Arabidopsis thaliana: one gene and its partners. The protein of the gene in region 1 interacts with the protein of each later gene in a pairwise test. Each region holds a gene or a part of one and is shown in the gene's direction. Other genes may lie near its edges.

Evidence for each region.
Region 2: the proteins of GBF2 (region 1) and SMZ interact in a two-hybrid assay, tested with the Arabidopsis thaliana proteins (one large-scale study listed by BioGRID).
Region 3: the proteins of GBF2 (region 1) and SVP interact in a two-hybrid assay, tested with the Arabidopsis thaliana proteins (one large-scale study listed by BioGRID).

What each region holds. Positions count from the first base shown.
Region 1 is NC_003075.7:478,874-488,779, reverse strand, and holds GBF2 (G-box binding factor 2), read left to right. Parts: upstream 1-4,255; 5' UTR 4,256-4,410; intron 4,411-4,781; 5' UTR 4,782-4,809; coding exon 4,810-4,875; intron 4,876-4,973; coding exon 4,974-5,021; intron 5,022-5,113; coding exon 5,114-5,209; intron 5,210-5,281; coding exon 5,282-5,362; intron 5,363-5,457; coding exon 5,458-5,499; intron 5,500-5,582; coding exon 5,583-5,746; intron 5,747-5,828; coding exon 5,829-5,877; intron 5,878-5,964; coding exon 5,965-6,013; intron 6,014-6,104; coding exon 6,105-6,244; intron 6,245-6,336; coding exon 6,337-6,414; intron 6,415-6,507; coding exon 6,508-6,633; intron 6,634-6,707; coding exon 6,708-6,851; 3' UTR 6,852-7,211; downstream 7,212-9,906. Other genes in the region: AT4G01130 (GDSL-like Lipase/Acylhydrolase superfamily protein), read right to left, coding at 773-1,029, 1,148-1,418, 1,599-1,756, 1,845-2,063, 2,669-2,912; AT4G01110 (late embryogenesis abundant hydroxyproline-rich glycoprotein family protein), read left to right, coding at 7,724-8,490, 8,586-8,604; ADNT1 (adenine nucleotide transporter 1), read right to left, coding at 9,190-9,273, 9,360-9,704, 9,792-9,905. UniProt on the Arabidopsis thaliana protein: Binds to the G-box motif (5'-CCACGTGG-3') of the rbcS-1A gene promoter. G-box and G-box-like motifs are cis-acting elements defined in promoters of certain plant genes which are regulated by such diverse stimuli as light-induction or hormone control.
Region 2 is NC_003074.8:20,371,371-20,381,050, reverse strand, and holds SMZ (Integrase-type DNA-binding superfamily protein), read left to right. Parts: upstream 1-4,528; coding exon 4,529-4,947; intron 4,948-5,061; coding exon 5,062-5,087; intron 5,088-5,438; coding exon 5,439-5,469; intron 5,470-5,614; coding exon 5,615-5,702; intron 5,703-5,835; coding exon 5,836-5,984; coding exon of another isoform or gene 5,985-6,015; intron 6,016-6,789; exon of another isoform or gene 6,790-6,791; coding exon 6,792-6,871; exon of another isoform or gene 6,872-7,085; coding exon 7,086-7,333; downstream 7,334-9,680. Other genes in the region: AT3G54980 (Pentatricopeptide repeat (PPR) superfamily protein), read right to left, coding at 8,203-9,680.
Region 3 is NC_003071.7:9,575,989-9,587,168, forward strand, and holds SVP (K-box region and MADS-box transcription factor family protein), read left to right. Parts: upstream 1-3,658; 5' UTR 3,659-4,428; coding exon 4,429-4,610; intron 4,611-5,517; coding exon 5,518-5,596; intron 5,597-5,882; coding exon 5,883-5,947; intron 5,948-6,062; coding exon 6,063-6,162; intron 6,163-6,247; coding exon 6,248-6,289; intron 6,290-6,400; coding exon 6,401-6,442; intron 6,443-6,913; coding exon 6,914-6,955; intron 6,956-7,053; coding exon 7,054-7,205; intron 7,206-7,596; coding exon 7,597-7,615; 3' UTR 7,616-7,913; downstream 7,914-11,180. Other genes in the region: AT2G22530 (Alkaline-phosphatase-like family protein), read right to left, coding at 27-79, 246-326, 412-518, 606-690, 780-947, 1,029-1,073, 1,149-1,245, 1,323-1,453; NET2D (Kinase interacting (KIP1-like) family protein), read left to right, coding at 9,904-9,997, 10,101-11,180. UniProt on the Arabidopsis thaliana protein: Transcription repressor that inhibit floral transition in the autonomous flowering pathway, independent of photoperiod and temperature. Acts in a dosage-dependent manner.

The sequences.
Region 1 (9,906 bases):
TATTCAAAGTACATAGTTTTGATATTTCTATGTATTGCATATTCGTTACTTGTCTTAGTTTTCGTGTTAAATTTTACACTTTATAAAGTATCATGAAGACTTTATTGCTCTCCCAAGTTTATAAGATAAACTTTATGATTCAAGAAGTATAGGTAAATAAATTTTAACATTTATATCATGTTAATGAAAAATATTGGCAAATTAGTTTTTCTTTATACTTGATTTGATAACATATATTGTAATAATATTACATTTCACGATTTGGATTATTTAAAATATTTAATTTCGGTTCAAATCTACCACATTTCTTCTATAGCGGGAGTTTTTTCTAACGGCTTTCTCACCCAAGTGCAATTGAATATAAGGTTAATTTAATTATTTATTAATAAGTACTTTGATATAATAAATCATATGTGGTATTTGATGAGTATAGTTAACGCATAGCTGATATATATAGTATTACAAGTAATGTCCATACAAAATACGGCGGCACAACAAGATAAAAGATCAATCGTCATTCGTCACGTAAACTTTAAACAAATCTGATATGCACGAAAAAGGTGACAAAGAAATGTCATTTCGTAATCCAATAAATTAAGAAGAATCAAATGATTAGGAGAACAATCGACCTGTAAAGCATATTACGCAATTTTAAACATATACATATAATATCTAATTATCTATATACTTTTGCTTGTCACAACATGCTTAGTTGGTGGATAGTTTAGAAATTCATATTTAAAAAATTAACAACTAATGATCTTATACAAAGCTAAGGCGAACATAGGTTATTGAGTATGAACGGAGGATATGATATCGAACCGTCGAGAATGGCCATGGAAATGTGGTGATTTGCGGCCTCCGTCGCATGAATTCCATCCCAACTCACGTAGTTGTGAGGATCATGGCAAGCTTTGGCCGTCGTAGAAAAATTTCCAATCACTTTGGTGTTGCCACAAAATAACTTCTGATTGAAATTGTATGGACGTCCACCATATCCACAACAAGCTTTAATACCGTGTTTCATACCTTAGATATTATCATATATGAAAGCAAAACAAAAGGATTCGGTTACGTAAAATACCAAAAATTGAAAATTTATCGGTTGAAGTACAACTAAACCAGATAAGGTTATGACATAACGTACCGTAGGATTTGGGGTGTTGAAAGAGATCAAGCAATATCTTGTGCGTGTCTAAATAAATTACGGTAGCGTTTTTTAGTTCGGTTCTGGTCTGAGATAATGTCTTATTCAATAACGTGTTGTAATATTTGACTGCTTTGTTTACAGGAATGAGACATCCATACTTGTCTAAATCAGCATCGGTATGAGTGTAACCGGTTAAAATCGCCGGGTAACATCCAACCGGTGCTAAATTCAATACCAAAAATGTCCGACCACCTATTCCATATATCTCCTACATTCAAGAGCAAATAACTTAAGAGGAGGATATGAACCATACAAAAATCGGATTTCCAAATGGAGAATACGAATTATAAGTGGGTTAAGATAATATCCATACAAATGTTTCGAGATAGTATTAATTTTATAAAAGACTTGATTCTATAAACCAAAAACCTTGTGGTGAGGTTTGTACCTTAATCGTTCCAGCAATTTGGCCTATGACTTGTGGAAGATATAGTTTCACTCTCTCAACTCCAATACTGGCTAAATTGGATGTGAAATCGTTTTGACCAATATAAAACGTGTATAGCGATTTTCCGAAAACAATTTTAGACGGTAAGATCTTCAATCCTAAAACACAAGGAAGTATACGTCATTTGTTTATTATACTCATGATCATTCTATACATGCATCGGTTAGAGACTATAGATATATATACCTGGTCGGTCCAAAGAATGTGACTCGTCGACATTAACCTTGAATTGTTTCATCTGATTCAGCTGAATAGCGAGTGAGAAAGGGCTGATTCCGGAGACAAATAAAGACGTGTTTGGCAAGAGAACCGTGGACGCTAACGTCGCAAAGTTTGCGCCATGTCGAAAATCCGATCCAATAGATTGCAAATATGGGCTTAGGAAAGGCATTCCAAGAGATTTGGCTAAAATAATTTAACACTACGTTTAGCACTATAGTGATAATTTTTGGGTAATAACAGTAAGTATTATAGATTTTGTTTAAAATTTCAATCTAAAATCCTAATTATTAGACCTGGAAAAATAAATTGAACCGAACGTACAGAACCAAATCCGAAGAAATGAAAACCGAGTCGGTACCGAACCAAAATATTTTGAGTAACCGAAAATATCCGAAATATAATTATCTTTTCAAAAATATTAGTTATTTTTTGACTAAATAGTAAAAATACTTGAAAATATCCAAAAAAAATCAAAAAGAACCGAAATATCCGAAAATATTCAAAGCAAAATAACCGAATGGATACTAAATATTTAAACCGAAAGAACCGGAACCAAACCCAAATTTCAAAATAAGCGAATAGATATTAAACATTAGACCCAAACAGATACGAACTGAAACTGAATGGATAACTGAACGCTCGAACTACTAAGTATATCTTAAATATTTTTAAAAAATATTTTAATACTAAAGGATACAAAAAATTATACTTTGTAGAGGGGATTTGATACTGCTGTCATATTATACGTTTTTTGAAAATTTTGAGAGTATTTGTTAGTCATTTGTTACCTAGAAAATCAATGATAAGACGACCGTCTGAAGCACGACCGGCTGGTTTCTTGAAATAAGTCATTCCCCATGGACCAGATTGGGCAGGAAAAGCAGCCCAAAATCCGCCAGTGTCCGAATTCGAGTCTCCGAAGTTGAAAATTGCTTCGAAATCACATTTTGAATCACCTTTATGCCCATAAAGCATCACAATAATCAAGACTAGAAGAGAGAACGATCTTCTTCTGTTTATATCGGAAGCCATGTCTATCTCTGTGTGAACAAAATGTGTGTTTGTATGTGAGAGTGAGGATGAGATATTTGGTGCTATATGATTCTTGTAATCATCCCGTCCGTGACTCTCACTCTCATTGTACGTGTAATTAGTGTGTTATAGCCTTAATGGTTTTTTTAGTCCAACAATTCCCTTTAAGCCCAATAAAAGATAAATAAAGCCCAATCTATTATATTGATTCCAAGGGTTCAATATATATGAGATATGTCTAACAATACATCAAAAGACCAGTTTGAATAACAACACATCAATTTATGGATTGGATATGAATAAGATGTCATGTATGCAACAACCAAATTTGACATTTCTCTTGTAATGCCTTGCAATAAAAGTTATTTTGTTAACTTTTTGCAAAGTATGTGCCAATCAAGAACAGGATAAAAAGGTTGGGTCTAATAATTCAACTACGGCCCAATAATAACCCAATAAAGGAGGGTATTAACGTAAATTTATGTCTTGGACCGGGAGTCTAACTGCACGCGTCAAGTGGCTCCCACTAGAATTGGCATCAAGAACACGTCACCTTGACCTTGTCGGATTTGTCTGAAATTGAATTCATTCTTTTTTTAGTGACTCTCTTAAATTGGAATTAGATCTTCAGTCTAAATCTTAATGATTATAAGAAACAAGATTATATGCATCATTTCGGATTTAAACAACATGGATTAATCTCAACTAATTTAGCATTAAAGATAAGATTTTGTTAACCCTTTTTTATTGGGTGGATCCTACGTGGCGAAGATTGAGTCATCGTCTAAAATTTTAAAAAAGATTTCAAGAAAAAATTAAAAAATGAGCTGGCGTCGAATCCCACGTTGTCCGTAGGGACCACAACGGTATTCCTTATTCAGTGGGACACGTCAGCTTTATAAAACCACTAACGGCCGACACAAGTCAGTAGATCCTACAGTGGGGACCACTCTAACCTTTTTCTGGTTAAAAAAAGATATATTTTACCGTAGATGAAATCAATATTAGCCGTCGATTAAATGGTAAAAACAAATATGCTTGATTTGGTAGTCCACGTTTCGTCATCTGTGGATCTCAAATGAATTATACATTATAGTTTAATTCTGTATTTTCATTATTTAAAAGGAATAAAATCAGCAGCACGTCAAGTCTACGTAGAGATCTCAAGATGAACGGTGGCGATTATGACTACGTGTACCAATCATTATTTAAGTCAGATATTTAAAATGTCCAGCGCAGATCTAGGGTTGCCAGCTCAGCATATGCGTTCCCTTTGCAAACCCTTCAAGATCATGACACGTGTACGGTGACGTGTTCATCAGCCTCTTGGCGCTCCGTTGTGTCTCTCTTCTTTTTCTTCTCTTCTCCTTCCTCTCTCTTCTTTTACCGAACTCTGGTTCTAGAGAGAGAAACCATTCTCTCCGACTAAGAGAGAGAAGCGAATTTGTTTTTTTTTCTTTTGTGGGTTCAATTCGAATTGTTTTCCCTGAGACTCAAGGTACGTTTTTGGATTTTGGTTTTCGTTATTTTCTTCAATGAATATCTGAGTGATTATATATGAACGCTCTGTTTTCTCGAGAAAGTGTGTATTGAGTGAAGAAAATTACTAGGAAAGTTAAAGGTAGATTGAATTGTGTAACTCTACTAGTTGGTGATAGTTTTGAACTTTTGACAGAGGAAAAAACTCGACTTTGAATCTTTTACTGGTAGATTCAGTGGTGCTATACTTTATAGTTACTCGGATCTCTGTTATATTTATAGTTTGATGTCCACAATTGCGAGATCTAGGTGTAATTGAATACTGTTCTTTTAGATTTATGCTTTACAGAGGAACTGCTAAAAGATCTGATCATTTTTTTGTTTATAAAGTTACTGTGTCATTACTCTGCATTGAGCAATGGGTAGCAACGAAGAAGGAAACCCCACTAACAACTCTGATAAGCCATCGCAAGCTGCTGCTCCTGTAAGTAATGGAATCAATGGAAACTGATTGGTTTAGTAACAGATTTGTGTTTAGTCAAAGTTTGATTGTTGTTGTTGTTTTACTTTGTATATATACAGGAGCAGAGTAATGTTCATGTGTATCATCATGACTGGGCTGCTATGCAGGTGATTTTTCTTTGACCTTGTTTTGTTTCTGCTGTGTGAATTGTGTTTTATTAGCCTGAGTGATTTTAGCTTGTTTCTCATGATATTTGTAGGCATATTATGGGCCTAGAGTTGGTATACCTCAATATTACAACTCAAATTTGGCGCCTGGTCATGCTCCACCGCCTTATATGTGGGCGTCTCCATCGGTACTTATATTAAACTTGTTGAATGTATATCTGTTACTTTGGATTGAGTTTGATCTTTCTTTGTTGTTGTAGCCAATGATGGCTCCTTATGGAGCACCATATCCACCATTTTGCCCTCCTGGTGGAGTTTATGCTCATCCTGGTGTTCAAATGGTAATCCTCCCTTCCTTTTAGTGGTTACTTTATATCAACAAATAGTTGAAAAGACCAGATTTACTGATTTGTGTTTTCCTACTTTACTTTACCAGGGCTCACAACCACAAGGTCCTGTTTCTCAATCAGCATCTGGAGTAAGTCAATTGTCTTGTGATGTTTCTGTGTGAAATGTGCAGTATGATGGATATTGGATATGAATGTATGAGAATGTTTGCAGGTTACAACCCCTTTGACCATTGATGCACCAGCTAATTCAGCTGGAAACTCAGATCATGGGTTCATGAAAAAGCTGAAAGAGTTCGATGGACTTGCAATGTCAATAAGCAATAACAAAGTTGGGAGTGCTGAACATAGCAGCAGTGAACATAGGAGTTCTCAGAGGTTTGTCAAACTAGCCTCAACTCTTTCTTATTCAATAGATACTTAGATATATAGAATCTAACGTGGTTTTGATATCAACTAGCTCCGAGAATGATGGCTCTAGCAATGGTAGTGATGGTAATACAACTGGGGTATGGACTCGTCCTCTCTGCTCTGAACTAGGTTTAGATTTATCTTTTGCGATCTTTATTCATATTCTTCTTTTTTTATTACCACAGGGAGAACAATCTAGGAGGAAAAGAAGGCAACAAAGATCACCAAGCACTGGTATTTCTTCCTGAAAAATAACACAACGCAAATAATTGTATGCTTTTAATGTTTACAACTATTTAAAGCTAATGGCTTTTGTACTTGGTAGGTGAAAGACCCTCATCTCAAAACAGTCTGCCTCTTAGAGGTGAAAATGAGAAACCCGATGTGACTATGGGGACTCCTGTTATGCCCACAGCAATGAGTTTCCAAAACTCTGCTGGCATGAACGGTGTGCCACAGCCATGGGTATAGTATTCTTGTGCCACTCTCGTTGACTTCATTTATTCGTGACATCCCCTTTTGTTTGTTTATTGGTGTTAGTGTGTGTTTATCTGCAGAATGAAAAAGAGGTTAAACGAGAGAAGAGAAAACAGTCAAACCGAGAATCTGCTAGGAGGTCAAGACTGAGGAAGCAGGTGATTGCTACTAAACATTTTGTAACTAAAGACTAATGATGAGAGCTGATAGATTTTCATATTTACTTAATGGATTGTTTGTTGTTCACATAGGCTGAAACAGAACAACTATCTGTCAAAGTTGACGCATTAGTAGCTGAGAACATGTCTCTGAGGTCTAAACTAGGCCAGCTAAACAATGAGTCTGAGAAACTACGGCTGGAGAACGAAGCTATATTGGTAACAATCTACTCGCATTTTGAACAGTAATCATAAGTCTATTGATCATAATAACGCTAGTTATTCCTCTGCAGGATCAACTGAAAGCGCAAGCAACAGGGAAAACAGAGAACCTGATCTCTCGAGTTGATAAGAACAACTCTGTATCAGGTAGCAAAACTGTGCAGCATCAACTGTTAAATGCAAGTCCGATAACCGATCCTGTCGCGGCTAGCTGACCGTGGCCGCAACAATGAGAACCCGATATTTCTTCCTTTGGGTTGTGATTGTAACTTAAAAGGAGACTTTTTGTTTTTATTCTTAGATTTGTAGCTCTCTGCATAGTGAGCAGAAATTGATGTAATATGGTTTAAGAGATTCGGTGTTCTCTGGTGTGTGCTGCAACCACATAATTGGTGATAGATAGGTTTAGTTATATAAGCAAATGTATTAGAGATAAGGGGAGACATATTTGATGGTCTTTCGTTTCGTAAACACACTTTTCTTATGTGATATATAAAAGAAGATTTATCACATTAGTCTTCAAAATCGACGTGCTTCCCTTAACCACTAAACGTGAGTGTTTGTTTGTACTTTTGACAGATAATTTGGTGAGATTCCTCGTAAATTGAATACTAAAATCGGTCTGATTAATTCCATATTTGTCATTGTTCAATATCTTGGGATGTTTGATTACTGGAATAATGCATGTTTGAAGAAGAATTTGTATGAAAAAATATGGAAGTCATCTAGAAATCTAGACACAAATGTATTCATTACCAAAGGCCATAAACTCATGACCAAGTCCAATATTTTAAAAAAACATTGAGCAATTCATATTACAGAGAGCCAAAATAATTTCAGTAAGTGGCCAAAGTGTCGGAAAAATCAAATTACTTAATTTGTGTTTGTTGGTAGGACAGGATACACAAGACTTATTTTATTATAGACAAAATCATAACATTGTAATATTTTATAAGACATGAAAGCTGACTATTCAAAATTTAATCTCAATTTTACTTTGTAGTTATAGTTAAACTTAACATTACATGGAGAAGAGAAGAACAGAGATCATCAAAGAAGTTTAACGACCACCACCGGAGACTAAGAAATGGCGGGAGAGACTCTACTTAAACCGGTGCTTCAAAAACCACCAGGCTACCGTGAGCTCCACTCGCAACCTCAAACTCCACTCGGTTCATCTTCATCATCATCATCAATGCTTCGTCGCCCACCAAAACATGCCATTCCTGCGGCGTTTTATCCGACGAAGAAGAGACAATGGAGTCGTTGCCGCGTCTTTTGCTGCTGCGTCTGCATCACCGTCGCCATTGTCATTCTCCTCCTTATCCTCACCGTCTCCGTTTTCTTTCTTTATTACAGCCCGAGACTCCCCGTCGTACGTCTCTCCTCTTTCCGCGTCAGCAATTTCAACTTTTCCGGTGGGAAAGCCGGCGACGGTTTATCGCAGTTGACGGCGGAGGCTACAGCGAGGCTTGATTTCAGAAACCCTAACGGGAAGTTACGTTACTATTACGGTAACGTTGACGTGGCGGTGAGTGTAGGAGAAGATGATTTCGAAACGAGTCTCGGGTCAACGAAAGTCAAAGGATTTGTGGAGAAGCCAGGGAATCGGACGGTTGTGATTGTTCCGATAAAAGTGAAGAAGCAACAGGTGGATGATCCGACGGTTAAGAGGCTAAGAGCGGACATGAAGAGTAAAAAGTTGGTGGTGAAAGTGATGGCTAAAACGAAGGTAGGATTGGGTGTGGGAAGGCGTAAGATTGTTACGGTGGGGGTTACTATCAGTTGCGGTGGCGTGAGATTACAAACGCTTGATTCAAAGATGAGTAAATGCACCATCAAAATGCTTAAATGGTACGTACCTATCCAAGTTAAATGTATATGAAATCTATTTTAATGTTCATCTTGAAAATTAGAATATTAATGTTGTGTTTCTAATTTCAATGCAGGATTAAATTGCACTCATAAGTTATGATGATTGATTGATGTGTCTTTATTTTTTTGGTCGGGATTCAAAACGTTTAAAGATGTGGCAAGAGTTCAGCTTTACGAAAGATCACTGTGTATGTATGTATTATTTGTGTTTTTCTTCTCCCTTCTTGTTTTCACTTTTCACTTTCATATAAATTACGATCCAATATTCTCAATCATTTTTACATCATCTAACAAAGGTGCATAACATGTGTGTGATCAAAGGTACATAAAAATGACACAAGCACATGAATTTTGTAAATAGGCAAAGTAACCAATAAGGGTCATAACAAGAGTGTAAATAATTGAATGAGAAAAGAGGAGCCCAAACATGTTGTAGCACAAACTGCAGTACCAAATGTAGTTGGCCACTGACTTATTTGATTCAGCATAAAAGCATAAACCCAATCTAAGTGTAGAAGAAGAAAAAAAAAAAGAGTTTGGCTAAGCCCCTATAGCCATTTATCCTTCCCACCGGATGTTGAAAGGAGATAAATAAAGCCCCCCTAACTTTGTTGAACTTCTCTTCTGGCTACAAAAATAGAAGTGCGCTTTCTTGACGGCATTGAGATATCAAATGACTCAGTCTGATATCCTAAACTCCACTCCTAAAACGTCTTTCACCATCTCATATGTCACAAATGCAATCGCAATCGATGGTACAACCTACAGAAGAAACACAAACAACACTTCACTTTCTTGAGTTCATCAAATAAGAAGATCAAGAAACGGAGTTTTGTTATGAAACAAACCTTCACTGAATTGGGGACCAAACCCTTGTACAATGCTCCAAAGCCTTCATGACGAACTGTTTTTCTAAATGCATCGACCATACCAGTGTATTCAAGTGAAGCTGTGCTTCTCCCTTCGCCTGTTACAATAGCGGAAGCATCTTTCCACCCGACCATTTGCATTCTCCTACGAATCACATCCAGTGGATAAGCAATTGTTTGACCAACTGTTCCAGCTATTGCACCACAAGTGAGCCTCGTTACAACCGTCAGCTCATTGTTTTCTACTAGACCGTATGGGTTCTCTTTAACTAGCCAGTCCTTTAGAGACTCATACACCGAAAAGTTCAAGCCCACATATGGAACCTGCATTTATCAAAAGAGTCTCATCAACTCATAAATATTTGTAGTATTACGTTCGATTGAGTGAATAAAAAAAAACACAAGACTTACAACTCCAATCACTGATGGAAGCCAACCACGGTACAAGGCCCGTGGACCTTCCTCTCGCAGGACAGTTGCCAAAGCATGGGCAATTCCTCTATATTGATAAGGAGAATTTGCGGTC
Region 2 (9,680 bases), on another chromosome or scaffold:
TAACCTTGCTTGTCGTTGGAGTTGTATGAAACTTTGGTAACTTTAGTGTTACTCTAATGGATCAGTATCATCTAGTTGTACAATATTGACATACTACACTTACTAATTAAAAAAAAAACCAAATTAATTAGTTACATTCAAGCAAAATGGGAAAGAAAAAGCTAATGAGGATACGTGTTTACGAATGAGCATTTGAGTATCCAACGCTTTGGGTTTGTCAATGGGATGAATCGGAATAGAAGAAGGCCCAAGAAAGAAGAAAGTCCAAGCTCGACTCTTGTGTTAATTATTAAATACTATGTATTGCTTGTGATCTTATAACTTAAAGTAGAGAGAGTACTTGGAACTACTTTTCTTTCTTCTTGTAACTGTGTATTGCTTGTGGTCTTTTAACTTAAAGTGTAGTCGATTCTTCTTATAAGAAAGAAGCCAAGAAACTTATTTATAGAGTTTGAACCAAAGAATATGATCAAAAACGTATATAAATCCGATTTCTTCAGTTGTTTCTTGTTTCCATTCTCAGTTTTATTCACCTACTTCTGTTCTGCTTCTTTTTATTACCATTTTAGTCCAACGGTTATGTAGCTTAGTGTTTTCCATTTTGATGTCACATACTCACCCTCGCAAGTCTCACTTCCCTATATAGCTAAAAGAAAAGAATCAGAACTAGTTCAGGACTTAGGAGCACATGGTTTTTTGGAGAGGGTATTCTCGTCATTTTAAGCATTGGCTTTTGGGGGAAACGAGGAGGGGAAGCTACCACGTCGCCCAAAACTGTTCCCACATATATGCGTCAAACATTAAACCGAAAACGTTAAAACAATTTTTTTTCTTTATATAGAGATTTGACAACAAATAATAAAATAAAAATGCCCACCAATTATCAAAGAATATGGTTGAATCTTCAATTATTCAATTTTATAACGTGCTTCATGCGTTTCCACTCGTTTCTCTATCACCCCTTTTATAGATCTACTCTACCAACAAGCCCCATATTTATTAATCTTAGCAATCGCTTCTCAATCTCCCTCACATACAAAGTCCATAATTTTCTGGCCGGAGGCTAATCTTAGATAATATTTGTGTTTGACCTACTAACGTATATCATATTTTCCCCAAATGTATCATGGTGTAGTTCCTAGGTCTCGAATTCGGATCCAACAGAACCCTTCTAATCGATTGAACATAACCAACTATGAACTATATATATTTAGGTTAAATTAAAATTCTATCATGAATTTACTATATATGTGATGGAAAAAAAGATTCGGGATGAATGAGAAACTGGTTTTGAAGCTAGAATAGTTTTTAAAACACTTTAAAATCATGTGTTTATCAGATGTGGTTTCATAACACTATGTTCCTACTAAATACAAACATCCTAATTCGTTTTTTAAGCCAACAATATGAGTTTTATTCATATTTTAAGTCACAATCCTAGCTTAATATAAGACTTCAACAAAAAATTTAGCAAAAAATTTGGGTCCGAGTTGCAACCTACAAATAGATTGTGTTGTTTAGGTGTAGAAAATAGAGACTATAAACATAAGTGCATAAAGCACAAGGTTAACAAAGAAATTGACCCATCACTAGTAATATTCTGATAAAAATTTCAAAGCAGTTAAATATCAGAGATTTTTGCATATAGTACACGTTCAAGTATTTTAACCATTTCAAGAAATTTGAGTGGTAGACAATATTTCAATTTTCGATTGAGTAATAAACTTTGAAGTGTGTAGATGACTTCAAAACACATTATCATTGTGAATTATAGGGTAATACGTTATTGTGCAATGCAAGTTATTAATAATGTAAGAAAAAAGGTTACTCTTTTACCTATTGGAACTAGAATGAACAGAGATATTTAGTCTTACCAAATAAGGAAAGGCCGATTCCTTAAAATCTAATATTTTCTTGCATATCTGGATAAATTGAACGGCTGGGATTTGAGAACCAACTTATCATCAAATCTATCATAATTATTTGTAAAAAGAGAGATATAGATTTGGAGTGAGTGATTGGTGAGTGGTTGAATAATATGACAATTGACATAACCCCACTGTCCCTCTGTCTCCATTAAGGTTTCTCTCTCTTCCTACTCTCAATACAATAGTAGTAGTTGGCATATTGGACCCATCCTTTTTTTTTGGTTTAGGCCCCAAACGTGTAAACATCACACCATCTCTCTTATTCTTTATTCATTGACTATAACACATTTATCATTTTATTGTATAGTTTATGTTGTGGTCTAGATTATCATCTTTCTTGTTCCTCCAATAATTTGGAATTGAAGATCCATCCCACTAGTGATAAAGAAGAAGAAAAAAAAGGCTTGAGGATGAATGTGTTAAAGAAGGATAGTTAAAATATTTTAAATGGTTTATTTAAATTTATGACAGTCCATTTGAAACTCCTTTTCTTCACCAATATTTCAGTATAAAGATGAAATGCAAATGGTATCTCCTTCTTATAGATTAAACCATAACCTAAATCAACTCTTACGAAATCTCAGTTGATTGTGATTTATGTATATTGGGATGCGAAAGCACAACAACTAGGTTTAATTTCTTCTAAAATGTGTGATAAATAAAATATAATATAAAACTAACAAAAAAAATCTGTCGGTCTCTCTAATTTTTCGTTGCTATGTTTTATCCATATATCGTAATCTTTAATTTAAATGGAAAAGGGTTGTCCTTTGGCAAAATAAAGAAAAGAAAAAGAAAAAAAGATAGAGAAAGGATTGTCCTGATTCGTTAAATGACGCATAGAGAAACAAAATCACATGTGGGTTTATTTAACACGTTGAGAAGATACCATTGCGACGCGAAGTACCAAAAAATCCCTGACCGTTAGATTTTTTTTCATATCTTGACACGTTGGAATCACACGAGGGACCTATCAATAATTGTTGTCGCTAAATGCCAAATTTAATGAATTTTATCGAAAAATAATGACCTAATTTTATTACTAAAATGCAGAGAGTAGACGATGTTAACCGGTTAATTTTGTTGTTGAATGCTTTAAAATGTGAAATAACTATGTTGAATTGTGTTTCATATTTTCTTTTTTAATCGTATAATTTACTAACATGTTAGAAGAAATTACAAATTCAGATATAATATAAAAATTTATTTATCCTTACCAAAAAAAATAAAAAAATTATTTATTGGATTTTACCCATCTACTATTCATTCTCATCATTAACTTACGTTTTCCGAAAATCAAAGATATTTAGGTCATTTTATGTAAGGAAGGATAAAAATAAGTAATGATTAAGAAATAACATTTAAAATAAAAAAAAATTGACAACAACGGCTCATTATTCCTCAAAATTCTAAATTTTGCTGAGAAATTGTGTTACCAATAACAAACATAATCGCATCGATAATCGCTATATAATCTGTTGCTAATTAAGGATAAATTGAAAATTTGTAAAAGTCGGCAAATTCCTAATATTGCTAGATTTAGGTTGTTGAAAATTTCAGATATTGACTTTTTAGTACTTTTATAATTGATGGGGCTATCTTATTTTCAATTATATTTTGTTTGTGGTCACACTAGGCCTAATAACGTACACTTGTCAATTAAGAACAAATTTATAATCTTACAGACAATTCCACATTCGAGCATGCATTAACAAATTTCTTCGGCATTAAACTATATCAAATTAGAATGCTTTGGTTTGAAAAATAAAAGTAATAACGCTTGTTTTTTGATATAATGCATAGAAATTAAAAACTACTTACTCTTCAACCAATCACAATATAATACGTCCTTTAAGGTTTGACTTTTGGTTTTGATCTTAATACTAAAACAACATTAAAAAAAAATTCTTAAACTCTTTATGATGTTATCTATTTTGTTAAACTTGTCGATGACTTGATCAAAAGATGTATCATTAGATAAATCAAGTAGCTGTATTTTACGAGGGAAAAATAATCTATCATATTATATTCACGAGGTCTCTTTACCAAGTAGAAGGCTAAAGAACATAAGTAATAGTATAAGCTAGTATCTTTATACTTTACTCTCCTCACCTATTTGATGGCATTAGTTTTGTTTACTATTTTAAAATTACAGGTCGACTTCACTTAAAAGGAAGAGAAAACTTTTGTTTTTGTTATTACATCGTATTAACGCGGTTGAGTTTACAACATCAAAAGTGTTAATATATAAAAACTCATCGTACAACCCTATCTACGGCTCTCCCATATTTAATTAACAAAAATGAAAACTAATATATAGTACAAAATATGTTTATTCGATACATCGGCAAGGCAAGTACAATCATATAATTATAGAAATCAATTTTATATATAAAAAAAAAGAGTTGAAAAGGCAAATAAAGGGCAAGTGTATCCAATGCAACCTTCACAGTGAACACGTCCCACGTTCTTTTTTTTCTTCCCTCTTTTAGAACTCTCTCTCTCTCTCGTTTTTGACACTTATCCTCTCTCTTTTTTCTCTCTCCCTCTCTCTCTCGCCGGAAAAAAGAACAACGTCGTTTATAGCTAAAGATTCGATCATGTTGGATCTTAACCTAAAGATCTTTTCTTCTTATAACGAAGATCAAGATCGGAAAGTACCATTAATGATCTCAACCACCGGTGAAGAAGAATCTAACTCATCTTCCTCCTCCACAACAGACTCTGCAGCGAGAGATGCTTTCATCGCTTTTGGAATTCTCAAACGCGACGATGACCTTGTTCCTCCTCCTCCTCCTCCTCCTCATAAAGAAACAGGAGATCTCTTTCCGGTGGTGGCTGATGCTCGTCGGAATATAGAATTCTCCGTGGAAGACAGTCACTGGTTGAATCTTTCTTCTTTACAAAGAAATACACAGAAAATGGTGAAGAAGAGCAGAAGAGGACCAAGGTCTCGTAGCTCCCAATATCGTGGCGTCACTTTTTACCGTCGCACCGGTCGTTGGGAATCTCATATTTGGTAAATCAAATTATATTTCATTTTTAATATTATCATTGCATTTTTATATTGTTATTTGTTGAATTATTGCTATATTTATCTCTAATTTTGGGTTTGGAATTGATTAATTTGTAGGGATTGTGGAAAGCAAGTTTATTTGGGTAAGTAGATCAGATTTTTATTTAATTATTGGGTCATCTTTAATTACGTGTGTGTCTATTTTTAGGCATAAACGATGAATTTTAAAACAATCGTATTTTTGTGATAATTTTGATTTGTAGATCTTCTCTGACAACGTCTGTTAAAAAAGTTTATTTTTTGTCAACTACCTCTATTCTTTTTTTTTTAAAGGATGTATGTTTTTTTTTTGTAAAAAGACAAAAAAACATAATAGACTATTACAGCTCATTTACCTATGTTTGTTACTTCTGTCTTTCACGTTTAAGTGAACACAAGTTGATTATTTGTATTAATCTAACTTTTTTTCCTTGACTTAATTTTCGTTTTAACAGGCGGGTTTGATACTGCTTACGCAGCAGCAAGGTAAAATATATATATATATACACATTATTTGTTACAACATTCGTCATTTGAATATGTTTTAATTTTGTCAACATATACACATTAGAGTTTGTTGAAGACAATAAATAATTAATATCAATTTGACTTATTCATAAATGAATACCAGGGCTTACGACCGAGCTGCTATCAAATTCCGTGGTCTCGATGCAGACATCAATTTCGTCGTGGATGATTATAGGCATGACATCGATAAGGTTAAACATATATATATATATATATATATATATATATATATATATATATATATTACGTTATGAAGATGATTCATTTCCCTGTATAGTTCGAAATAATACATGTGGATCTTTAAAATTATCAATTTATGTATAGATGAAGAATTTAAATAAGGTGGAGTTCGTGCAAACACTTAGGCGAGAGAGTGCGAGTTTCGGAAGAGGAAGTTCCAAATACAAAGGCTTGGCTCTTCAAAAATGCACCCAATTCAAAACTCATGATCAGATTCATCTCTTCCAAAACAGGTACCATTTTGTTAGACACGTAATCTTTTGACAAGTTTAAAGTGCAAATAGTTAGTCTTATTAGTATGAATAAAATATGGTTGAAATATTCCCTACTTTTTGATGAAATGGCCTAATTTTACTATTTACACAATCTACATCATGGAAAATACATTTCACTTGGCGGATCATGGATGACAATATTATAAATCCGTCACTTATCTTAACTATATTTCACCTATATTCAATTTATTTTTATTCTATCTATTCATCTAGCTAGTGCTTTACCATTCAAAGCCTAACCTTCACTTTTTGGAAAAGTTATTGTCGTCTTACACAATTTTAAAGTTTGCTGAAAAAAAGTTATAAACTAGCTAGCTAATTAATAATATTTATTTTTATATACTACTAAAAGAAAGAATAACTTTTATCCAGTTCAATCATATATACATCAATTAGTCCATATATATACAATTAATCAAAACTAAGTAGTAAAAAAAAAAAAAAAACTTCGTGAAGGTACAAAATTTTCTACTCAAATTTAATTTTCTAAGTGAATGGCAATTTTCAAATACTTTTACTTATATATCCCCCTCAAACTATACCAAGCCAACGTTACGTTTGTTTCCATTTAGGTGCAAGCTTGAAACCATCGTCCGTTTCAAGAGTTTGATACTGTCGGGGATGATGGTTTCTTAAGTTTACCTTTTATGTTTCGTTGTAAATGCTTCACAGAATACCATTGTTAAAAAAAAAAAATGAAACAAGAGTTAGTGTTATGCTGTGAATAAACTTAGAAATGTTTATACGTATGTGCAAAATTCGTAGGGGATGGGATGCAGCAGCAATAAAATACAATGAGTTGGGAAAGGGAGAAGGAGCCATGAAGTTTGGTGCCCATATCAAAGGTAATTGATTAATATGGTGTGACTCAGAATGTAACTAAGTTTATTATAAGGCATGGTTGATAAATTTAAGTGAACATTGCCAATCTATATATAACACTAACCACAAATTTTACATATACTTTAAATCTGATCAAGGAAGCTAGCTAACCTTTTCATAAAATTTTTAGCACTCTCCATTTGAGCAACTTATCCATTAACATTGTCATTTTTATAGGAAATGGTCACAATGATCTTGAACTAAGTCTCGGAATTTCATCATCATCGGAAAGTATAAAGTTGACAACAGGCGATTACTATAAGGGTATCAATCGGTCCACGATGGGTTTATACGGTAAGCAATCATCGATATTTTTACCCATGGCAACCATGAAACCTCTGAAGACAGTTGCAGCATCATCAGGATTCCCTTTTATCAGCATGACAAGTTCCTCTTCCTCCATGTCCAATTGTTTTGATCCATAGGATCGTTCTACACTCTCTTAACTAATATATATTTTTACTCTATCTGATTATTGTATACAAGGATAAAATTTGATTCTTTCCTTAATGAGTGAGAAATATTGGAAGTGTTTGTTCTAACTTCAACTCGAATTATATACCAAACGTGGTTATCATCACGAAGAATTTGCACATAAAAAAGCTAAAAGCACATCACCACCAGTGGGCAGTAGCAACTAAGAGTCTTAGACCAAGCTATAAACTGATTAACCCAAAACCATCATTTATGAGCAAAGTTGATCTCAGAAGCAGGCAAAAGACAGACAAATAAAAAGATAATCCGAATCTTGTAACTTAACGGTTCCGATAACTATAACCTCGCAGGCTAACCGGTGGATATTATTCTCTGTGTCAGTTGCAGGTTCCTTTCTGGGTTTTGAATCTGGCAGATTTCAAAAGGGCTTTGTGTTTTCCTGTTCCAGTTCACATGGAGTAGCCTTACTCGAGCAGACGATATGCTAGAAGAATCATATGAAGAGTTTAATAAGGACTCAGTGCACTGGTTTCATCACCCACCAACATAGATGCCTCAGAAGACCTTGAAAAACTGGAACCTGGTTTCAGTTGGGAAATAAAGAAGCTCAGTATAAGAATACAGAGTCAAATTATTCTGGTTTGAATTCGTTCTATGTTTTATAAAATTGACAAAAACAGAAGGCCCTTCTTAGTTTCTTTACAGAAAGTCTATAGAGTCTCCCTCTTTCATGAATAACAACATTTATACTACAACCGTGCAAAATGAAAAGTGCACACCTTAAGCAGTCATATTATCGGGGTCTCACGAAAAGCCAAAGCTAAGTCATCAGTCAATAATGTGGTCTGGTTTTGGCAGACTACAAACTTGCTGCACGTACAGGTTGGAGGTTTCCGACTTGCCCACTAACTAGAATATCAAATGTAGCACCATCGGGTAAAATACCCTTGTCAAGCATCTCATCGTGAAGTCTAAAAGCCTCATCGAGATTTCCTTCTCTATAATGTCCGGCAATCACCGCGTTGTAGATAAGGACATTCGGAGTGACATTATTCTTCTTCATCTCCTCAAACATCTTAACCACTTTTACAAACTGCCCCTTCTTGCTAAGACCGTTTACAATTACTGTGTAAATGATTTCATCAGGGACAAGACCCACCGCCTGCATTTCTGTGTACAACTCAGAGGCCAGGATCAAATTTCCATCTTTCAACAATCCATCAATCAGTGTTGTATATGTACCCAGATCACATCGTAGACCGTCTTTCAACATTTTCTTGTACAAATCAAGGGCTGCTACCATGTTTCCCAGATTACGAAATCCAGAAATCAAGCTGTTGTATATAGGTTGGCTTGGATTCAATCCTTCTTCAAGGAGTTCAGAGAACAGAGCAGATGCGCTTTCCATGTTACTCCTTTTGCAGAACCCATCGATAAGAGCACCATAGGCTGGAATATCGAGTTTGACACCTTTGTTCTTCATTTCGTCTCTCATTTCCAATGCTTGATCCATTCTGTTATTTTTGCATAACCCATTCATCAAGCTGGTATAAGTTATGACGTTTGGAGAAATACCATTGCCACACATCTCTTCGTATGCTGCAACCGCAGAATCCATTTCACCCTCTTTGAAAAATCCATCTATAATGCTATTGTAACTCATGCAACTAACACATAACCGTTTTTCTTCGATCATATTTGCCAACAATTCTCTTGCTTTGGATGTCTGACCAACTTTGCATAAACCATTGATAATTGTTTGGTATACAACCCCGTTGACTTCAATATTGGAAGAAGTCATATGATTGACGACTTCCAAAGCGTTTTGTTCATCATGATTCCTGAAACATCCATCAATCAGAATGGAATACGTGTAGTTATTCGGCTTTAGACCCTTTTCCAGTATATTTGAAAAAACAATACGAGCCAAGTCCATGTTTTTCTGTCTGCAGTGGCCAAGCATCACGTTATTGTAAGAAACTACATTCGGTCCAATACCTCTACTTTCCATCTTGCTTAATAACTCTGTAGCTTCGTCTGTCTTACCTTGCTTGCATAACCAGGATAATATAGTGTTACATACAAACACGTTTGCAAGACCGGTTTCAAAAGACTCGTCAAAGAGTTTCAGTGCCTCTTCATGTTTCTGACCTTTCAACCACCCTTGAATTATCGTGTGGACATGAAAGACAGAAGGAGTAAGACCTAAGACTTCCATTTTCTTGTAAAATTCAAGCGCCTTTTCCATTTCCCCGTTCTTACGAAACCATTCTATCAGAACCGAAAAAGTAACGCTGTTCGGAGAGGGGCCTTCCTTTTCCATCTTATCAAACAAAA
Region 3 (11,180 bases), on another chromosome or scaffold:
AAATGAGTTATGAAACTAACAAAGACCTGTTACGGCCGCCAGTATGTCCAACGTGATCTAAACCAAGGTAATGAAGGATCTGATAAGGGGTAGATCTAGTAAGAATAAAGCACAGAAAAGCTCAATTGATATACAAGAGGAATTTTTGTTTAAGTCAGTATATATTTTAAGGCAGAGAACAATCCATTGGCGTTAAATGAACCAGACGCCAATACTGGGGAATAAAAGAAAAAGTAAAAACTAACCAAGAGATTCCAATCATCACTGTTTAGCTCATCGGGCAAGTGTCGAGAAACATTTCTGTCTACCTGTACTGTATCTTTGACCTGTCCAAAAAAACATTTTTTGTTCAGATGACCATGATGTCGATAAGAAAAGCAATCAACAAAACCAAACATCACATTAACTCACAAAGAAACTGCTAACACCGTCATGTCTCATAAATAGCCCTGGAAATAACTTGAGCCACGTCTCATCACCGAGCATCACCATTTTCCAACCAATCCTGAAAAACTGACCTGGTAAATTTGGACCAATGTCACATAGCTTTTCTTTCAATGTTTGCAAGCATGAAAAATTTCTCATTGTTGAAAACTAATAGTTACCAAGAATATTATCATCTAAGAGAGCTTGTGTGTTAAAATTAAAAGCAACATCCAAGAAACCACCAATTGCCCCAGAAACCATTGCCTGAAAAAAACAATGAATTCTATCAACTAAGCAAGCAAATAAATTCATTTAGACTGTGATCATCCACTTAATCACAACTATACACACACCTTTAACCTCGGCATGGTAACAGTTGGAGGAGCTGCTTTAGCATGGTAACCAATAGCATCTCCATTAGCTAACAGTGACTGAGTATAAGGCATAGACTCTTTCAAAACCTTCTCTGGAGGTTTACCATCTTTCCCAAGAACGAACTCCGCAGGTAGCCCATCAATAACCTAAACTAGCATCGCTTTAACATCCTCAAAAACACTCTCTCACAAAGATCAAAATCAAAATTTTAACAAAGTGCAACATACCATTAAAATCAGTCGATCATATTTGGAAGAGATTCCAGATAACTCCTACAAATTCACCACTATCAAACTCAAAAGGGAACTTTACACATTTGTTTTTGGATTCACAAAAGAGACAAATACCTGGTACAGCAATCTCAGTTTCTCTGGATGATGAAGCTCCGATTCGTTCGAAATCAGAGAAGAATCACAGAATGGATCTCGATAGCTCTCCGAGCCACTGCCATTTCAAATAAACAAATCAATAGAGCGTAGATTCTTCTTCTTCGACTTCAAATGTTATTGATTTAGTAGTACCTGACGCCGGAGAGAGTCGGCTTGACGGGGAAGAAACCGAATACGAAAATGGAGAGGCCAATAATCTGAAGTAATATTCCGGCCACCGTAAATATCGTCAGTCTCGTACAAGTCATCGCCGCCGTCGTCATTTTCAGGATCCGGCGAGAAACTGAACCAAAATAATACTTATTTTACTCGTAAGGAAAATTTGGGCCTAATAAAAGCCCAATAATAATAAAAAGCCCATTAGGGACTCCGCTTTATGATAACGGTGACTGTAGTTTCCTTGATGTGTCAGAGAGAGTGTGTAGTGTAGGGACTGTGTAGAAAGAAAGAAGCCTAAAATGGCTAAAAGGTTAGGTGCAATGTTTCATTAGAGAGGCTTGGAACTGTTAAGGGAAAGGTCACGAGTCGTCTACTCATAAAAACTCTGACACTTTGACCAATCAAAACTCAAAGACCTCACCAGTTGTGTCACGTGCGCCTCTAAACACTATTCAATTTCAAATATAAATGATTCATGCGGTTCCAAACGCCAATTGATGGATGTTCTACCAAATTTAATCTACTTTTACCAAACCATGACAAATATGAATAAACATTACTTGATAATAATTTTGTGAGTGAACAAACTTTTTTTTTTTCGAAACCAAACCAAGCTGAAAAAAACTCAACGATTTTCTTTGTTTAAAATACGTTAGAAAGGAATATGTATTATGCCGAAATAAGTAATATCGATCAGGCCACCTCTCTTATAGTTATTCTCCTAGCAACTTTAACCACTAGAAGGTTTTGTTTTCTAGTGTTTTCTAATATACGTCATCAAAATTTTCAAAAAATACTACATTTTTGTTTTAAAAACTTCCATAATTCCATTACTCGTAGAACACAAACGCAAACCATATTAATATTTTGTTGTCAACAAAAATTTCAAATTATAATTCAACTATATTTGCTTGATTACCCAATTAGATAGAAAAGAGTTAAAGAAGAAAAGAAAAGAGTTTACAGTAAATTAACGCAAACCATAATTATATTTAACACCGTATTAATCACATCAACCATATGACTTTTTTACCGTTTGCAACTTCATAATTCATATAGTATCATAATAAATTCGCAATAATACAACACAAGAGTTTCGTCGGAAGAGTAAATAATACTCAAATAGGGGGTGAGTGATACGAGCCACATGTATTCTTGAAGGGTAGATTATTGCAAACTTGGAGTAATAAAGAGAAGAAGAATGGGTTTGTAGTAGTTGCGTGGAGTATCTTTATTTGGGTAAAACTTTAATTTAGAAATAAAATTCTGTACGGACAATGGATCGTGTCCCAATCAGATTTCTTGTGGCTGCTTCGGGTCTGGTTTTGGGTCCCTTTGAAAAATTTTAGTGGTCGACACTTTTTATTTTACTCTGGCTCGTGCCTCGAGGGTCCCTCTATTCACTGTTTCTTCGTATGAAGGTATGCTTAAACATTATTTTATTTTTAAAAACCCTTTAATTTTATTTTCTTACCTTTAATCACGGTTTTGTAAATTGCTTTTTAGTCTATGGAATGATGATTGTGGCGATTGAAATCATATGTTTGGTTCTGTTGTTGACGTTGGTGAAGTATATGTGATTTGTAATGTTGAGCTTATGTATTAAAATGTTAAATGATAAATAACCTCGTAAGAAAGTGATTTCATTTAAATTTTATTTTGAGTTACATATTCAATTGGTTTTATAAAAAAATACTTCAGTGATGATTGATACCCCCATTGTGTGTGTAATTGTTACTGGGATTGAACAAAATTTATTTGTGCATGACAAACTTTCCAAATTAGTGCATAGATTGTAATTGTATAATGGACTACATGTATCTGAGTAGATATGGTTCATTAGGTTACAAACCTCTTTTTTTAAGGACACAATTTTTCGACAAGTTATATGCCACATGATTGACTACTAAATTTTCAAAAATTATTGCACTAATGTCTTTGAAATTAACAAATTATTTTGTCATTTCCGAGTTGGATTCTTACAAACCAAGGCCGAACTCACAAACTTATTTCTTTCAGTAAAAACAAAACATTGTCCTCAGAAAAATTCTGAAATGTCATCTTCCCAAATGTTTTTACATAAATAAAAATAATATACAGTTGATATTATTTTGTTCTTTCTGAATTTTGTTATGAGGTACCATTACCATATAGTACGTAGATTTACAAAAATGAAAATACGTTGTAGCCCTTGATGTTCTTCAGGTCTTCTAGTTAGTTTTTGCAGTAAATACCAACCAATTAGTTACAAGGAGTATAAGTGAACAAAGTGAGACAACTCATTTTATGCTTCCCTATAAAAAGAAATTCCCCACTGACCCAAACACACACTTCTCTTCTCTCTCTCATCTCATTGGAGACTTATAAATCCTATTACCTCACCATATCCAATAACCACCACACACAGACCAATATCCAAAAAAAAAACTAAAACTAAAAATATAATATATATCGTTTTCTTTCCAAAAATAATCATTTAAGAAACCCCATCATCTTGATAGTATTATAAAATTAATAAACCTCTCCCTGAAAATATCTCATCCTTCACCAATCAAAACCTTCTCATGTCTTCTTCTCTCCTCGACCTTTGAGGTGGAAAATTAAATATATTCCCTTAGCTTTTTTTCTCCTTTAGTTTTCTTCTTCTTCTTGAGTTTTTTTTCTTTTGATCCTCTCTAATTTCCTTGTTGATTCATCGACTAGATCTAATTCTTCTCACAAAAGACTGAGTGTGTTCTTTCTTTCAAATCTTTCAAAAACTAGGGTTTTTACTGTCTTGAAATCATATTTATTCTTCTAAATTTAGCAAAAAGAACACGATTTACTTTCCATTTCAGTCGTCTTGTCACTCTCTCTCTCTTCTTTAAAGTCTCCCTTTTTAGCAAAAATTCTCTCTCTCACAAAATTTATTTCCTCTGGCTTCTTCTTCCTCCTCCTCCATCTCTTCTCTTTACTCTCTCTTTAATCATCTCTCATTCTTGAATCTTGATCCATCAAAATCAATCCCGTTCTCGAAAGATCCATTAAAATCAAAACCTAAGCTCTCTCTCTTGCTTCTAGGGTTTTTTTGTTCGTTGTGATGGCGAGAGAAAAGATTCAGATCAGGAAGATCGACAACGCAACGGCGAGACAAGTGACGTTTTCGAAACGAAGAAGAGGGCTTTTCAAGAAAGCTGAAGAACTCTCCGTTCTCTGCGACGCCGATGTCGCTCTCATCATCTTCTCTTCCACCGGAAAACTGTTCGAGTTCTGTAGCTCCAGGTCTTTCTTTCTCTCTCTAACTTCCCTCTCTATAGATTTCTCATAACTCATCGAAGGAATCTTGTCTAGATCCAGACAAAAAACTTTAAAGAGTTTTTAGATGTATATCTGATACATAGGAGTTTACTGTATCAATCTTTATAGGACCACTAACTATTTATATAATTAAAATAGTTGTTAGAAACATTAATCATGACCATAAATGACATATATAAAGTGTATAGTAAAACTCTGTATTTAGATAAATTAAGGTATCTAACTACGGTAATATTCAAAAAGATGTAAATCTGGATATGCATATATGTATATTATTAGTATATAAATACATGCTCTATAGTAGGTATTTGTGTCAACCATGTATAAATCTATGTATATAGATATTGTGGTATGATATGTTTAAGCCGTCAATGTCATATTTATATAGAAATATGTGGGTACCATAACATGAGGAAGTATCTATATGTGTGGATGTATAAAGCTTTCCCTTTGAAGAAGTAATCTAAAAATAATATATATATATATATGTATATGTATAGATATGTTGGAATCTTTATTAGTGTTGGGAAAAGTCATTTAGAGAGATATTATTGATATTAGGGATCTAAAATGACTTATCGTATTACAGAGATACGATTTTGGATTTTTGACCCACTAGTTATCAGCTCAGTTCCTATCTTCGGGGACATACACACTTTCACAGATAATTGTGTATATATGTAACTGAAAACGATAGTGTTAACATGAAATAATGTACATGTTTGGGATTAAATGTGTTTTGTGGATTTGGTTTGCATCTTTTGATTTTAGATTTTGGTATATTGTCGGTGTTTACATATGCACATTGTTAATATCAACAGTATAGTTGTTTATAATAAGTTATTTATTGGAATGTGTTTATATTATGAAGCATGAAGGAAGTCCTAGAGAGGCATAACTTGCAGTCAAAGAACTTGGAGAAGCTTGATCAGCCATCTCTTGAGTTACAGGTTAGCTACATTCTCGAAACGACCACACATTTTCTTTCCCGATTTCTGTAACTTGCAAAATCGAGTATTACTCCGTTGAATTACCAATATGTTTTAGATTGTTGTATTTATTGACCAAGAATCTCTTAAAACTTTGTATTAATAGGTACAAAACTTTATATTATTGCATATGATTAATTAGACTCGATCCATGTAGTAGTCATGTAGAGTAGTCCTGTGTAGAGAGTTGAGCTTTAGATCATTATGGATATGATTAAGAGCTTAAATCAATGTTTTATTCTGTTAGCTGGTTGAGAACAGTGATCACGCCCGAATGAGTAAAGAAATTGCGGACAAGAGCCACCGACTAAGGTACGTTATATATGTATATTCTATGACTTTTGAACTAACTATCATTTTCTAACTAATTTTTTTTTTGATCAACCACTATCATTTTCTAACTGTGTGTTTACATGATCATATATAGGCAAATGAGAGGAGAGGAACTTCAAGGACTTGACATTGAAGAGCTTCAGCAGCTAGAGAAGGCCCTTGAAACTGGTTTGACGCGTGTGATTGAAACAAAGGTTGTTAAGAAAATTACTTGATACCATGTATAAGTTTCTCTAAGCTTACGAGTATGCAATTTACTAATACGAGATGTGTTTGCAGAGTGACAAGATTATGAGTGAGATCAGCGAACTTCAGAAAAAGGTAATAATTAACCAAAATAACGTTTATTCTTTACTTGATGATTTCAATATTAATTTTGGCAGTTTCAAGATCCAAAATTTTCATCTTCTTCTCTTTTTTTTTGGTGTTCAGGGAATGCAATTGATGGATGAGAACAAGCGGTTGAGGCAGCAAGTATGTGTCTTACCCTCTCTGTTGATAACAAATCCCTTTCTTTTGTCTACCATTAACGTACACACCCCTAAATTTAATCCCCAGTTGTCTACAACACATATGTTTGATCATACTGTGAGATAAATGAATAAACCAAGTGATATAGCGCGATTTAAAAATGTCTTTAAAACTAAAGGTAACCATGTAGCTAGTTAGTCTCTAGGGTCCTAGAGGTCTACGAGTGTGCATGCATGGATTTGGTGCGTTTTTTCTTTTTCATCTTCATTTTGTTTTTTGAAACAGGGAACCATAAACGAATATATATCTAATTCTTGTTTGATATATAGTTTGGTCGAGGCTTCATGTCAAGATTTGCTCATTCGTAGTTAGTTGATCTCTAGAGAAATTCAAAACACATGGTGCCACTAAAAACACAAAATGCAAATACTTAGCTAGAGAACTTAATGATATGTTTTGTCTTGATTTTTGCAGGGAACGCAACTAACGGAAGAGAACGAGCGACTTGGCATGCAAGTACGTGGATATATATATAGTCTTGATTATTTTGAATTTTGTATGTTTGTTATCAGTTTAATGTTAAATTTGGAATATTTTTTTTTGGTTACGTGTAGATATGTAACAATGTGCATGCACACGGTGGTGCTGAATCGGAGAACGCTGCTGTGTACGAGGAAGGACAGTCGTCGGAGTCTATTACTAACGCCGGAAACTCTACCGGAGCGCCTGTTGACTCCGAGAGCTCCGACACTTCCCTTAGGCTCGGGTAACCAATTAATCACCCTTTCTTTTTACATTCTTTTGAGTTGATAGCTTTACATGATTTTTTTTTTGTTTTTAAATTGAGACAAAGAATATAAAAATATATACTTTAAACGACCATATACATGTATGTTGTCCATATTTATTGGCATTGCAAGATATGGATGACACAGAATCGTAAATAAATTTGGTTTATTTGTTGTATATTTGTAATTCTAACAAATAACATGTTATTTTGTATATTTTACATGATATCATGCTATTTGTTAAAATTACCTGTCATAAAAAACACCACTTATTTATGGTTTGTTTTTTGAAAATTCTGGCACAAATCTAATCATCTACAAAATCACTCTAAAAAATAAGTTATTGATTTAATGTATGGTGTTGTGCAGCTTACCGTATGGTGGTTAGAGATGGAACAATTCAAAGAAGTTGATGGAGTGAGGAGAGTAATGTAAATCTTTTTAACTCGGTAGTAACAAGAGACAATGTCTAAGTAGTGAATTCTCAAATGTTTGTGTAAGTTTCTGCCTATGGAAGAGGCTTTCATTTTTATGATTTTCACTATGTATGATCTCTCTTCACTGCATTTCTGGTTAGTAACGCTTGTCACCGATAAACTTTCTCGTTATGGAAAGTTAGAATATAAAATATTGTAGAATTTTGATTATCGATATACTCTTGGTTAGGGATCAAAAATATATTTTAGTGATGCCTCAAATAACTAATAATCATCATAGGACTCAGTCTCATTAGAAATTTTAGTGTAACAAAAGTGTGATTCGAATTCATCTTGTTGTTTTGTTGAATTTGTTGCAAAGTTTTACAAGTTTTCTCAGACCAGAGATTTCAAGTGTCTTCATTGGTGATGATTCTGGTGAATTGATGATCTTACTTGTGTGTGTGACACTTGCAATGTGTCTTGTTTGAGAAACACATTTGTAGTTTAGTTGGAGCTGTGCGGTTGGATGAGACTGAGTTCTATGATAATAAATTAGAAGCAAAGTTTCAAACCATATTCATACGATTCATTATGTTAGCAACAAGAAATATGAATATGGTTTGAAACTTTGCTTCTAATTCATCATTCGTTACACAACGTCCAAAATCTAAAAAAGTTTCAGATTTTCTCAAAATTCAGTAAATGGGCCTCTATATAATGAGGTTTGACGTTTTAGAGATACTTTGCACAAGAAAGAAGGTTCTGGTCGGATCGTTACACACCGACCTTTGACCGGTTCATCAAAACGTGTCCGGTTTTATGTTTAAACCGTCACAAAGGGGAAAAAAGTTCTTTAAGATTCAATTACTTAATGATTAAATTCTTTGCTTGCTTCAACATCTTTACAACTTTTTTATTAAACAAAACGACATTTTCACATTCCTTTATCCACTAAAATTCTTTGTCAGATTAATCTATATATACATTTTTGCAGCTATTTTAGCAAATAAATCTTAGAGTTAGATTTATTTACAACTCAATGCCATTAACATTAAATTTTTTTTCCAAAATAATTAATTTTACATTAAATTTTTAATTTAAATTGTCAATCACATTATCAATCAAATTTAATCCAAACAAACTTCACATCAATCCCTTAAAATTAGCATAAACTTCACATTAATTATTTAGACATGAAAATATTTATTTAAAGATTTAAATCTTCTAAATTTTTGCTTTTAGAGTTATTATATCATTACCTAAAAGGCAAAAAATATTAATTTTTTAAATATTATTATTTATATATTTAAACTTCATAAAACATTATTAATATTTGAATTTATAAAAAGTTTAATCTATCAAAACTAATTAACATTATTATATAATATATAAAATTAAAAAAATCTCAAAAAAAATTTCGTCATATTTTGTGATTCGAAATTTTAAGAATGAACATATATATTAACCAATTGGCGAAAAATGTGTGGGTTCAACGTCCCGCAACGACTAAAATATTTTGACAATGATTCATAAACATATTATAAATAAGATCAATATTAATAAAATAAATAGTTTTTTTTTGTGGACGGGTTTGGAAGGACGGGTTTGGCAGGACGTTACTTAGTAACAATAGTAAACTATAAAATAATTTACAAAATTTTATATATATTAATTTTAAAAAATGAATTGTCTCCGCGGTATACCGCGGGTTAAAATCTAGTTTAATTTAATAAAATCATACATTTCTGACATGTTCTGTAACGTTTGATGATTCATAAGAATCATCGGAAGAGAATCCTTCCGACTTCTCCTACCACGACGCTGGCACTATAACATTCGTGTAAACACCATTCGTACATATAAATCAAATATTGAAAATTTTGTAACAATTTTTTTTTTAATAGTCTTTAAAATATTTTTACCAAAATACTATTAAGGTAGAGAGAGAGAAAGAAGAGCGAAGTTTGCTCCCACCCATGATCGCTCTTCTCTAAGAAAGAAAGAAAAAAAAAAGAGATTCAATTGTTGCACGTTCTTTCCTCAATTCTGATTTTGATTTACAACCAAAAAAGACCTTTAAGTTTCCTTGTGGGTCTCTCTAAAAACCGAAACTTTTCTCTTTCTTTTTCTTTTCTTATTAAGATCTAGACTCTACAGAGAGAGATTGTTGGTTCACACACATATCAAAGTTACAATCTTTCTGGGAATTTGAATGAATACGATCAAAAAGAGTTGAAAAAACGAAAACTTTACGACGATGCTGCAACGAGCTGCGAGTAATGCGTATTCATGGTGGTGGGCGAGTCATATTCGAACCAAACAATCTAAATGGCTCGAACAAAACCTTCAAGGTCTCTCCTTTTGAATCCATGTCTCTTTATATAGGTGTTTGTTTCTAAAAAGTTGAGATCTTTGAGGTTTGATCTATTTTTTGTTTTGGATATGAATTTGTAGATATTGAAGAGAAGGTTCAATATGTGTTGAAGCTATTACAAGAAGATGGAGATTCGTTTGCGAAGCGTGCAGAGATGTATTATAAGAAGAGACCAGAACTCATTAGCTTCGTTGAAGAATCTTACAGAGCTTATAGAGCTTTAGCTGAACGTTATGATCATATTTCTACAGAGCTTCAAAATGCTAACACGACGATCGCCTCTGTTTTTCCTGATCAAGTTCCAAACTTTGCCATGGATGATGATATTGATATGTCTAAATTTGCTAAAAGATCGAATATTTCTGGTGCTAATGTCCCTAATGTTCCCAAACTGCCTGTTAAGGATTTGAAGAGTGCGGTTAGAGTGGCTACGAAGAAGCTTCAGCCGAGGAAATCTATGAAGTACACGGGTGGTTCTACGAATGTTGTTGTTAAGAGCTCGGGTTTGAGTAAGCCTGAGGCGATGGGGGAGATTGATAAGTTGCAGAAAGAGATTTTGGCGTTGCAGACGGAGAAGGAGTTTGTGAAGAGTTCTTATGAGATAGGTTTGTCTAAGTATTGGGAGTTTGAAAAAGGTATTAAGGAGAAACAAGAGAGGATCTGTGGTTTGCAGGATGAGTTTGGTGAGAGTGTTGCGATTGAAGACGAGGAAGCTCGGAGATTGATGACCGAGACTGCGATAAAGTCTTGTCAGGAGAAGCTAGTGGAGTTGCAGGAGAAGCAAGAGAAGTCTTATGAAGAAGCTAGAGAAGAGCATGTGAAGATTAAAGAGTCTAAAGAGAAGCTAAGATCTATGGCAAGCCAGTTTCTAGGTGATGAAAGTGTCTTTGCGAAAGACGATGGTGATGAAGTTAGAAGAACAGCAGAGTTGGATCATGAGATCAAAGAGATGTCTAGGAAGAAGAAAGAGTTGGAATCTGTTAAGGAGAAGATTAGAGAACATTTTGAGTCTGGTGCGAATTCATCGCTCAATGGGACAGATATGGCTGAGAAAGTCGATGAGCTTGTGAACAAAGTGATTAGCTTGGAGAGTGCGGTTTCCTCGCAGACTGCTTTGATACAGAGACTAAGAAACGAGACCAACGGTCTTCAGACGCAGA